Linked DNA regions of Caenorhabditis elegans. The protein of the gene in region 2 purifies or fractionates together with the protein of the main gene of each other region. This does not show direct contact. Each region holds a gene or a part of one and is shown on either strand. Other genes may lie near its edges. The genes, in order: pcca-1, sir-2.3 and mccc-1.

Region 1 (3,753 bases), 5.7 Mb from region 2:
TTTGCGTCTCATCTCTGGTGGCACAAAGCTGCTTGGAGCCTCTTCGATAACCTTCTGGTTTCTTCTCTGAATGGAGCATTCACGCTCGTTGAGCCACAAAGCGTTTCCATGCTTGTCGCAGAGCACCTGCATCTCAATGTGCCGTGGGTTGTCAATGAACTTCTCAACGAGCATTCGATCATCTCCGAAAGAAGAAGCTGCTTCTTGCTTGGACAAACGGTATCCTTCACGAGCTTGCTTGTCGTTCCAGGCAACTCGCATTCCTTTTCCACCACCACCGGCAGAAGCCTTGATCATGACTGGGTATCCAATGTCGCGGGAGACTTTCACGCACATATCCTCATCAGCAATTTCTCCGTCATATCCTGGAATCATGCTGACACGGGCTGCGGTAGCGATTTTCTTTGAATGAATCTTGTCTCCCATATCAAGAATAGCCTTAGAGTTTGGTCCGATGAACTTGGCTCCAGCCTTCTCAAGCTCGGCGGCAAACTTGGTGTTCTCGGAAAGGAATCCATATCCTGGATGAACCTGCAAATATATGTTTTCAACGTTTTTAGCAGTTCTGTTTGAAAAACATAACAGAAGACACTTGCAATCTATCTCTCGTCATTTGACTTTGACTATTTGAAAATGAAACACGCGAGATGCTAGAGACTGGAAAGAGACCACTTGGTCACTTGTCACAGAATTTTTGTTTTGTTGTGTTTCGTAGTGAAAGTAGGTGAATATCACGTGCATATTACAAGTAACTGGTTTCTAATATATTACGGTAAATCTTAAGCTGCTACACAGCCAAAAGCTCTCGCTCGGGTTGTCAAACTGTTTGACCCTAGCTTGTCCTCTGAAAAATGCGGTAATTCGTGCTTTTCATAATTTGACCTCACCACAGTTTTCAACAGGCCATAAGAGGGAACTCTAGAGCTTCATCACTTCAAACCCTCATATCTCAGCCAGGTGATATGAGCATGAAAAAATTGAGCATTATCAAAATGTAGGGAATGTTTTATTTCACATTTTTTCAGTCAGCAACTTTTTTAAGCTATTCTCTCCGTTTGAAGTTAAGCGCGAACGCTCTGACTTCTTGAACAGTAGTAGTTGATTTGGAGCGGTGTTCTGAACTTTTGCAAAAACTCTATTCTCTGTCGGATGTCTGGGTAATATGTTTGTGCTACTGTGCATGTAGATTCATGCCACAGAATTTACATTCTCCTCTGATATTTGATTTTTGCGGTTTATCCTTCCATTACATAGACACGTTAGAATTCTTACCGCTTGAGCACCGGTGTCCTCGACAGCTTGCAAGATGCGGTCAGCACGTAGGTAGGATTTGGCAGTTGGAGCTTCTCCAACACATACAGCCTCATCGGCCATCTTTACGTGAAGCGAGTTGCTGTCGACATCTGAGTGAACGGCCACTGTCTTGATTCCCATAGCTCTGGCAGTTTTGATCACGCGACACGCAATCTCTCCTGTAAAATAGACGATTAAATCTAAGATTCTTTTAGATGCTTGAGATTACCTCTATTGGCAATCAAAATCTTGTCGAACTTTGGCTCATTGTAATCGATTCCTACAGTAGTGTAAATCTCCTTTCCCTCACGTTCATCAAGTGGTCTGAAATTGAACCTATTGATCTCAAAACCGAATACAACTTTCAGAAACTTACACTCCTGGTCTGGCAACAGCAGCAGTTGCCAATCCACGATTGGCCACAGCGCGGATACTGGATGCAGCACGGAGCATGGTTCAACCTAAAAACAATGATTTTCATGATAAAATGAACAACGACATCAGCAGTTCACAAAAGAAAAAAGTAAGATGATGGAGAAAAACAGTTTCGTGTATAACTTCGATGGAGAAAGATAAGGACGACCGATTTGATTTGGTCAGTTAAGTGATAAACAGCGATGCCTTGAAAACTCTCTTTATATTGATTATGAAGGAAAACTTCGACTAGTAGAAAAAATAAGAAAAACATGCAGAAATGGCAACTGAGCAACGAAGTAAATAGCCTGGCCAGAAAAGAGAAAAGCAAGAAGTGCGGTGCCCTTGTCCCGCAACAAGATTTTCACAAAAGTTGTCTATCTCTCTTTTCTGATGGACCCAAAGCGCAGTTGCCCCGCTCTCTCTCTTTGCCCATTTCTTGCGATTTTGCACGTATTCGTCCTCTGAACACACACACGCAGAGAAACCGAGAAAATCACCGGGATAGGTTGAGAGTTGGAAAGACGACCTCACAATGTTACAATGAAGAACTTCGAATATAATTCATAGTCCAGTCTGCACGTTTTCTATAATTTTTGAACCGAGAGTCCTACAAAAACTAATAATTTTACAAAAAACGTGTATGCGTGAAACGGAAAATCTAAAGACTCACACAGTAAGTACACTCAATACACAAAAAAAAACGGCAAAATCACCAAAAACAGGGAAGAAAAAAGCCGACCTTCTCTGGCAACAGCGAAGGCAAGAATGACCTGCTCATTGACCACTACATGATCAATAAAACAACAAAAAACAGTCCAATAATGCGCGGGGTTGTCCAAGATATCTCACACAGCAACCTCAACGGAGCGCGTTTGCAGTGATCTTCTCTGCGTCTTTGCACACACTGGCCTTTCTCTCGACATGTTGTTTATTTGAGAATGTTTCGTTGAGTTTCTTCATTTTATTTGATAATAAATGGTCGTTCATTGCATTGGCAAAAAAAAACAAAATTAATACATTTTAGGAACTATCAGACACATTTTCAACTACTAGTCAATTATTCTTCCTCTGCTTGGCTTCGTATCGACTGAGAATAGAGAGTGACGGGAAACCAAGAATAAACGTTTGGACAACCCATTTTGCGGTAGAAGCAAAACTGAAAATACAATTTGTTATAAAATCAACTGAAAAAGTTCACCTGATATTGGCTTTATGGCAGAGATAAAGAGCGTAAAGAGCTTCACCGGCGTGTGCTACAAGGGCGAAAAGGTTGGTTAAAAGAGCAACAAATGGATACTCAGTTCCAATCTTATGGACGAGAGATCCAATTAATGGAATATTAAGTGCTGCTGCTGGATGGGCGTAAGAAATCTAAAAATCAAAGATATAGATCGAAGTGGAAGCTTTGAAATATCTATTTTTATCAAACATAGTTTTTTTTCACTTGAAACCTTAAAACTTACGTAGTTGATAGCCAGAGCTGGAACAATGAGGAGCCACCAGAAGAGTTGTGGAGTTTTGTAATAGTCCGACATTTCAATAAGTGTCAGTTTGCAAAATGATGGATCTGAAGCGGAATACTTAACACCCAAATAATTACGAAGCGACCGGCACACTTGAAGAGAGCAGAAACTGAAATAAAAAATTAGATTTTATCATGTTATCATTAGTTGGCTATATTCTACATAGTGTACGAGAATCAAAAAGTAAGTGGAGATGAATAGTTGGTTTCTTTTTTTTTTGATTCTCTCAAACGATAGAAGAAGGGGTGTCTTCGTGTAATAGAGGAGATACTATCTGAATCAATAAGGACACCAATGGTGACCTCAATAATAGAGCGTGTAAAGACAAACTAGACGCAGACAGAAAAACAATTCGGGCAGCTCTTTTTGCGAATACGAAAAGTTGTACAGTTCTCAAAAAAATAATAATAAGACGCGAAAACAGGGCATTGATTTTTAATTTTTCGCCATTTTAATAAGTAGCACATGAATATTGACACTTAAAAAGTACTTTAATTATTTTTAAATATGCCGATTTCAT
Region 2 (3,753 bases):
TTTTTAATTCAGAGCGGGCTCAAAAATGGTAACGGAACTTCATGGCAGTGCTCTTCAAGTAAAATGTACAACATGTGATTACATTGAATCAAGGTACATTGGACTGAATCAACTCAATTATGGAAAAAAAAAAACAATTTCTCAATGAGGAATTGTTTGATAAAAGCTAAAACAAATGATGATTTACTAAAATTGAACAATCACATGTAGCGTAGAAAAAAGGATTGTTATACATATTTGGATTTAAAAAAAACGAAAAGATAACATTTTAACTAAAATGTTGAAACTTCCTCTAAAATGTATCGGTGAACTTCCTTATAACATATTTTAATTAACGTACATTCTTCCTAATTGATAATGTTTGATCATTGTAACTTCATTGACTTTTCGATTTCACTCCACTTCCTGAATGTGTGGAATGGCAGACAATCTAAGAGAGTATGGACGCCTCTTAATGTATCTAATAGGCCACTTCACATTTCGGTTTGTGAACGTAAAAATAACCGTTTATTTTATAAGGGATCTCATAAAATTAAAACGTTTCAACTTCAGACAAACGTACCAAGACCGACTTGATTACGCAAATCCTGGGTTTAAAGAAGAACACGTGGCTCCAGGAGAGCTGGCGCCAGATGGTGACATTATTCTACCGTTGGGAACTGAGAAAGTAAGTGTTTTACGGTGGAATAAGTCGAAAAATACAGTGTTTTCAGGGTTTCCAAATTCCCGAGTGCCCAAGTTGTGGGGGACTTATGAAGACAGATGTCACGTTTTTTGGAGAGAACGTTAACATGGACAAAGTCAATTTTTGTTACGAGAAAGTGAATGAATGTGATGGGATTTTATCACTTGGCACGTCGTTGGCGGTGTTATCTGGATTTCGGTTTATCCATCATGTAAGGCTAATGGGATTTACTGGATGACTTTTTTGGTTATCTAAAAACAAAAACGTTTTGATGTTTCCGTGGGTAGCACAAAAATTAACTATTTAAAAAAATTTCAAACAACTTTTTTAGATTGTTAAGAGTCCTTCAAAAATAAAAATGTAAACTTTCAGGCTAACATGAAGAAGAAACCAATTTTCATAGTCAATATAGGACCTACAAGAGCTGATCACATGGCGACGATGAAGTTAGATTATAAAATCTCTGACGTTTTAAAAGAAATGTAGACTAAGACGTGTAGTTTTGGAATTTGATAATATTGTGTTGACGACAGTTTTTTGGGTACTTTCCGTTTGTATTTTGAAACTTTTTTTTATTGTTTGAATAGAATGGCAATTTGTTTCATGTTAATTGGAATAAACAATTTTTGATGAATATGATTGTGAAAATGCGTTATTTTCAGAAAAAAAATCATCTACTCCTGCAAAAAAAGTAACAAAATTGGCAAAACAAAATCCTGGAATTAGGAGATAGACTCAAATATTTTACCAAACAGCTTTTCTATATTATGAGAATATAATCACTTTTTGTTCATCAAGGATAACTTGCTTAGTTCTTTTTTAAAGTTTATGATTCTTCTTTAGTAGTAGTTTTTTTTTTTAAATCAAGATTCCCAATGGGATGATCATTTTAAACATCGCACCATATTGCTTTGATGACATGATTTAAACTATTTCAACACCTTCGTAAGGTTAGATTTTTATTATCAATTTTGTCAAATATTTTATTTCCTCATTAAACAATTATTTTTAAAACCTTGCTATCAAAAAAATTGTGGACTTTGTTCTGTACCTAGATAATCTTCCAGCTGTTGGTTGGTCTCCCATTATTCTTTCATTTTCGGCGGACCCGCACTCTCTGCCGGCGTTTTCCTTGGCAATACAGGAAGAGGTTACTGGATTTCTCTACTCTACTCTCTCGCCTGTGCAAATAGAGCGCGATTCATCCAAAGATATATTTTTAAGGGTTTTTTGAATGAACGTGATTCAACACAATTAGCTGTAAGATCCGGACTCGAAACTCTTGTGAATAATTTTTCAATAACGTTTATGAATAAAATTAAAAAAAAAACTGTTCTTATTGTTCTTCATTATTTTCACTTGTTTTGACAATCAATTCATCTTCGACAGTATTTTAGGAATGGCACGAAAGTATGTACCACATACGACAGAGCTTTGTGAAAACTCCCTAAAAAAGTTTAAGTCACTGGTAGGGACTGTGGATAAGCTTCTCATCATCACTGGAGCAGGAATTTCTACAGAATCAGGTTTTTTTTCAGGTACAGGTACAATCAGGTACAATATAGTTTTCATTTTCAGGAATACCAGATTATCGATCGAAAGATGTCGGATTGTACACAAAGACTGCACTTGAACCAATTTATTTCCAGGATTTTATGAAATCAAAGAAATGTAGGCAGAGGTGAGAGTACTTTTGAAATTTGTTGGGCCTTACTCTTGCAATTGTGATATTTCAATTTATAAAAACTTTGTGCCAAAGACTTTGAAAAAAGGCTCATAACTGCTCTCACGTATTAATATCATTACAATTTTATAGGTTTTATGATTCAGTAACACATTTTCTTTTTGGCATGCTTAATTATCTTTTGTCTTCAGATACTGGTCTCGTAGCTACTTGAATTGGCCAAGATTTGCTCAAGCTTTACCTAACTTCAATCATTACGCCTTATCAAAATGGGAAGCTGCTAACAAATTTCATTGGTTGATCACACAAAATGTGGATGGACTTCACTTAAAGTAAGTGAAGTTAACAAAATGAAAATATTAAAATAAAAGTTAAGAGCGGGCTCGAAAATGATAACGGAACTTCATGGCAACGCTCTTCAAGTAAAATGCACATCATGTGAATACATCGAGACAAGGTAAGGAATGAAGAAAAATTGGTACTAACTGTTTTGAAATTTGAAATTTAGAACTTTATACTTGGAACAATTTTGAACCAAAACAGGTTTGTACTTGAATGGAATTGAGATAAAAATAGAATGAATGTTAGTTGTTTCAAAATTATTAATAACAAGCAGTTACATATATCTATTTTTGACATTGCTCGCGTAAATCATCTTTTATAATTTCAGACAAACGTATCAAGACCGCCTGAATTATGCAAATCCTGGCTTCAAAGAGCAGTTTGTATCTCCTGGACAGCAAGAGCTAGATGCTGACACTGCCTTGCCGTTGGGTAGCGAACAAGTAAGTTTTTTTTTCAACAATTAGAAACAATTGCATAAAAAAGTTTTACAGGGGTTCAAGATTCCCGAGTGTTTAAATTGTGGGGGACTTATGAAGACAGATGTAACGTTGTTTGGGGAGAACCTAAACACTGACAAAATTAAAGTTTGTGGCAAGAAGGTGAATGAATGCAATGGAGTTTTAACACTTGGGACATCGTTGGAAGTGCTTTCCGGATATCAGATTGTCAATCATGTGAGAAAACAATTTTTTTAAAAATCAGAGCGACTATGTTTTTTAATTGCTGTCAAATACAACAGTCAAAAAAACCGACTTACTTAATCATACCACATTCGACATTTTTGGCAAAATTTCGCTTCGTGTACTAGAAATTCTGAGAAAATATAAAAATCGCTCCTATTGGCTTTTTTTTGAAAACTTTTGGCTACACACTGTTTATACATTCCTAAAATAAAATTACTTGTCTCACTCGTCAAAAATTAATTTTCAGGCCCATATGCAAAACAAACCAATTTTCATCGTGAACATTGGACCTACTAGAGCTGATCAGATGGCAACAATGAAGTTAGACTACAGAATTTCGGATGTTTTGAAAGAAA
Region 3 (3,753 bases), on a different chromosome or scaffold from region 2:
AGGCTTCACAAGAATTTTTTCAATAATTCCTGGCATTGGTGCGACGGCAGAATGACTGGCTGCTCCTCCGGATAACGAATCAAATGTTTCATGGATTTGTGGAGTTTCATATTCGTTTTGACCAACTCCATTCACCTTAAAGTTAACTTTTCAAAACTATGATTTGTTGAGACACAAACTTACCATCAAACTATTTCCTAGATTTTTAACGACAGTACTCCAGCGCCTGCCATTAGCTTCCAATGTAAACTTGAAAGATCCGTCTGTGGTTGATTCAATGTCGTTGAGAAGTGTTTCATAACTGTTGCCATCATAAGACACTGTCAGGCGACTATCAGAATCAAATCTAATGCTGACATCTTTTCCGTCTGAATTTAAGCTATTTATTTTTCTTTATCAAACTAAACGCGTTACCTATTTTGAAAATGTATTTTGGTGACAAATTCATTCTAAAGAAAGATAAATTCTGGAAGACACCTGCATCTGATTTTTGAAGGGCAGCCAAAGCATGTGCTACAGCCGACTCAACGTAAATTTCAGCAGGAGTTTCAGATTCAGCAAATAGTTCCTTCTGGTGATCAGGGATAAAATCGGTATAAACATTTCCTGCGGCAAATTCAGGATGAGCAAGAACTCTGCGGACAAAGTCAATGTTTGTGGGTAGCCCTGAGATTCTTGTACGAGCCAAAGCACTTTCCAATTTTGCAGCAGCAACAGCACGATCCTGGCCCCACACTACCACCTAGAAAAGGAGATGATTGTTTAGAAGCTGTTCTGAAATACTTACCTTAGCAATCATAGGATCGTAATGGATTGATACTTCGTCTCCAGAAACAACTCCTGTATCGATTCTAGCATCTTCCGGGAAGTCAACATAATTAAGACGTCCCGCAGTTGGCATGAATGCTCCTTTACGAGTATCCTCGGCATACACACGACATTCAAATGCATGACCGTTTAATGGAATTTCTGATTGTTTCAGTGGAAGCTTCTCTCCTTGAGCTACCCGTAATTGCCATTCAACAAGATCCGTGCCTGAAATCAAATTATTTGATAATTTCCAATCTCCCATTATAAAATCTATACCTGTGATAGCTTCACTGACGGGATGTTCGACTTGAAGCCGAGTGTTCATTTCCATAAAGTAGAATTCGCCACGCGGGTCCATGATGAACTCGACGGTACCTGCTCCAACATATCCCACAGCCGCCGCAGCACGAACAGCTGATTCTCCGAGTTTTACACGAGTATCATGTTCTGCAAAAACATTAAATCTCATTTAAAACTTTTTCACGAGACTGACTTACCCATATTTGGCGCTGGTGCTTCTTCAATAATTTTCTGATGACGTCTTTGAACGGAGCAATCTCTTTCCCATAAATGAACATAGTTTCCATGGTGATCTCCGAAAACTTGTACTTCAACGTGTCTCGGCTTCTCGACAAACTTTTCCACGAGCATTTCATCGTTTCCAAACGACTTCTTAGCTTCGTTACGAGCTGAAGCCAGTTTTTCTTCGAATTCAGCCTCGTTCCACGCAATTCTCATTCCTTTTCCACCTCCACCATAGACAGCCTTCAGCATAACCGGGTAGCCTGAAATTTTAAATAAATTTATGTGGGGCTATACTTTAAAAAATTACCGATTTCTGCTGATTTCTTTTTCAAATTAGCATCTGATTGATCTTCTCCGTGGAATCCTTTTACTACAGGAACTTTAGCATCTTCCATGATTTGCTTCGATACATTCTTGGCTCCCATATCCCTGATAGCTTGGGCTGGTGGTCCAATAAAAACAAGGCCGGCCTGAGCACATTTTTCAGCGAATCCAGCATTTTCAGATAGGAAACCGTATCCTGGGTGAATAGCTTGTGCTCCAGATCGCAATGCACTGTTGATAATTTTGTCCATATTCAGATAACTTTCCGCTGCAAGAGGAGGGCCGATGTGGTATGCCTGACATTAAATTCAGTTTAACACTTCACGAATACTATGGATTCTTACCTTGTCAGCTTTTTTAACAAAGAGGGAATTACGGTCTGCGTCAGAAAAAACAGCAACTGTCTCAATTCCCATTTTACGAGCGGTATTTTGGACGCGAATGGCGATTTCTCCACGATTTGCAACTAAAACCCGTTGAATGGGACGAATTAGAGGGGCAGTTGAGGCACATCGTTTTTGGAATACACCAAGCATCTGAAAATAAAAACATATTGGGAAGATGTCTCAATTAAAAAGATATCAAGAAAAAGAGCAGAAAGCGGATGTGGAGCATGTTTCAGCAATAAAATAAACTTTTCTCAATCGAGCGTGTTTGCATTGCGCTGTCTGCGTCTCTCATTTTCTGTCTCTCTATTTTCTTCATTTTCGAATAAAAATCTTAAATTGACGATTTTCATCCGGTTTCCATTTTTTCCTTTATTCCGTTAGTTTCTTTTTTTACTTTATTTTAAATCAATGCTTCTATTATTATTTCTTCAGATAATGGATTTCAAAGCAAAACTACTTGCTGAAATGGCAAAAAAACGAAAAGCCGTGTCTGGAATGGAAGTAAAAGAAGGAAACGCAAAGTTTGTCAAAGGCGCTGATTTAGAAATGAAAAGAAATCAGGAATACGAAAGAAAACAGCAGGAAATAGCTAGTAAGAAACGAGTAAGTTTTCTTTTAAAAACTTCGTTGTAGGAATTTGTCTTATAAAATTTTCTGACACTAATAAAGAAGGATTAGGTATTGCTGAATAATATTTGCAATTAAATTATCATATAGTAAATCATTATAAAAGACATCATTTAGAAAGTTGACGACGAGATACTTCAAGAATCATCCAGTCGAACTAAACCCGCGCCCGTGGAAAACGAATCAGAGATTGATGAAAAAACACCAATGTCGGAAATTCAAACACGTCTTCGCCAGCGAAATCACCCAATTATGCTTTTCGGTTTGGCATTTTCCAAAATCGTATTTAAAAAAATTAATTTTCAGGTGAAACTGATATTGATGTGCGTAAACGCCTTCATCAGTTAGAACTTGCTCAACCTGATCTCAATGAAGGATGGGAAAATGAATTACAAACAGCAATGAAAGTTATCGGAAAAGAAATGGATAAGGTTAAAAATAACATTAATTCAAATTTCATGAAATGAAATATTGCAGGCAGTGGTTGAAGGTACAGCTGATAGTGCAACACGACATGATATTGCTCTTCCACAAGGATATGAAGAAGATAATTGGAAAAATATCGAACATAATTCAACTCTTTTGAGCGTCGGTATGAGATTTGAAATAATTTCTCGAAACTATATTACTTTTTATAGATGACGATTTGAAACGAGATTGTGATATTATTCTTTCAATTTGCCGTTATATACTCGCAAGATGGGCTAAGGATCTGAACGATAGGCCACTGGATGTAAAAAAGACAGCACAAGGTACAATAAATTAAAAAAAAAGTGTATTAAATGTTTATATTTTCAATAGGTATGCATGAAGCAGCCCATCACAAGCAAACAATGATGCATCTTAAAAGTTTAATGACTTCAATGGAAAGATACAACTGTAATAATGATATTCGGCATCATTTGGCCAAGATTTGTAGGTTAGTAGGTTATTTTTTGATTCAACATTATAATTTTCATCGAAATTCACTTAAAAAATAAACTAATTTTATTCAAAATGCGAAAATTATCTTGTAATTGGAAATTTCCGGGGTTTTCAAATGTAGCTGAGCAAAAAAAAAACTAATTTAAATATGGAG

What was found.
Region 1: the proteins of sir-2.3 (region 2) and pcca-1 purify together in Caenorhabditis elegans (affinity purification with western blotting, with the first as the bait; one study listed by BioGRID). This does not show direct contact.
Region 3: the proteins of sir-2.3 (region 2) and mccc-1 purify together in Caenorhabditis elegans (affinity purification with western blotting, with the first as the bait; one study listed by BioGRID). This does not show direct contact.

Annotation. Positions count from the first base shown.
Region 1 is NC_003284.9:7,659,233-7,662,985, forward strand, and holds the start of pcca-1 (Propionyl-CoA carboxylase alpha chain, mitochondrial), read right to left. Parts: upstream 1,755-3,753; 5' UTR 1,747-1,754; coding exon 1,670-1,746; intron 1,618-1,669; coding exon 1,523-1,617; intron 1,473-1,522; coding exon 1,273-1,472; intron 532-1,272; coding exon 1-531. Other genes in the region: dhs-29 (NADP-retinol dehydrogenase), read right to left, coding at 2,764-2,866, 2,909-3,081, 3,174-3,342. UniProt on the Caenorhabditis elegans protein: This is one of the 2 subunits of the biotin-dependent propionyl-CoA carboxylase (PCC), a mitochondrial enzyme involved in the catabolism of odd chain fatty acids, branched-chain amino acids isoleucine, threonine, methionine, and valine and other metabolites.
Region 2 is NC_003284.9:13,329,932-13,333,684, forward strand, and holds the start of sir-2.3 (NAD-dependent protein deacylase sir-2.3), read left to right. Parts: upstream 1-2,082; 5' UTR 2,083-2,084; coding exon 2,085-2,211; intron 2,212-2,263; coding exon 2,264-2,366; intron 2,367-2,560; coding exon 2,561-2,701; intron 2,702-2,745; coding exon 2,746-2,826; intron 2,827-3,039; coding exon 3,040-3,154; intron 3,155-3,205; coding exon 3,206-3,388; intron 3,389-3,644; coding exon 3,645-3,753. Other genes in the region: NAD-dependent protein deacylase sir-2.2, read left to right, coding at 13-93, 553-667, 714-896, 1,058-1,171. UniProt on the Caenorhabditis elegans protein: NAD-dependent protein deacylase. Catalyzes the NAD-dependent hydrolysis of acyl groups from lysine residues. Plays a role in oxidative stress resistance.
Region 3 is NC_003282.8:9,883,012-9,886,764, reverse strand, and holds the start of mccc-1 (Methylcrotonoyl-CoA carboxylase subunit alpha, mitochondrial), read right to left. Parts: upstream 2,196-3,753; coding exon 2,004-2,195; intron 1,956-2,003; coding exon 1,643-1,955; intron 1,596-1,642; coding exon 1,308-1,595; intron 1,258-1,307; coding exon 1,087-1,257; intron 1,036-1,086; coding exon 788-1,035; intron 743-787; coding exon 415-742; intron 369-414; coding exon 184-368; intron 136-183; coding exon 1-135. Other genes in the region: prp-18 (Pre-mRNA-splicing factor 18), read left to right, coding at 2,484-2,651, 2,793-2,937, 2,982-3,106, 3,153-3,267, 3,314-3,427, 3,477-3,594.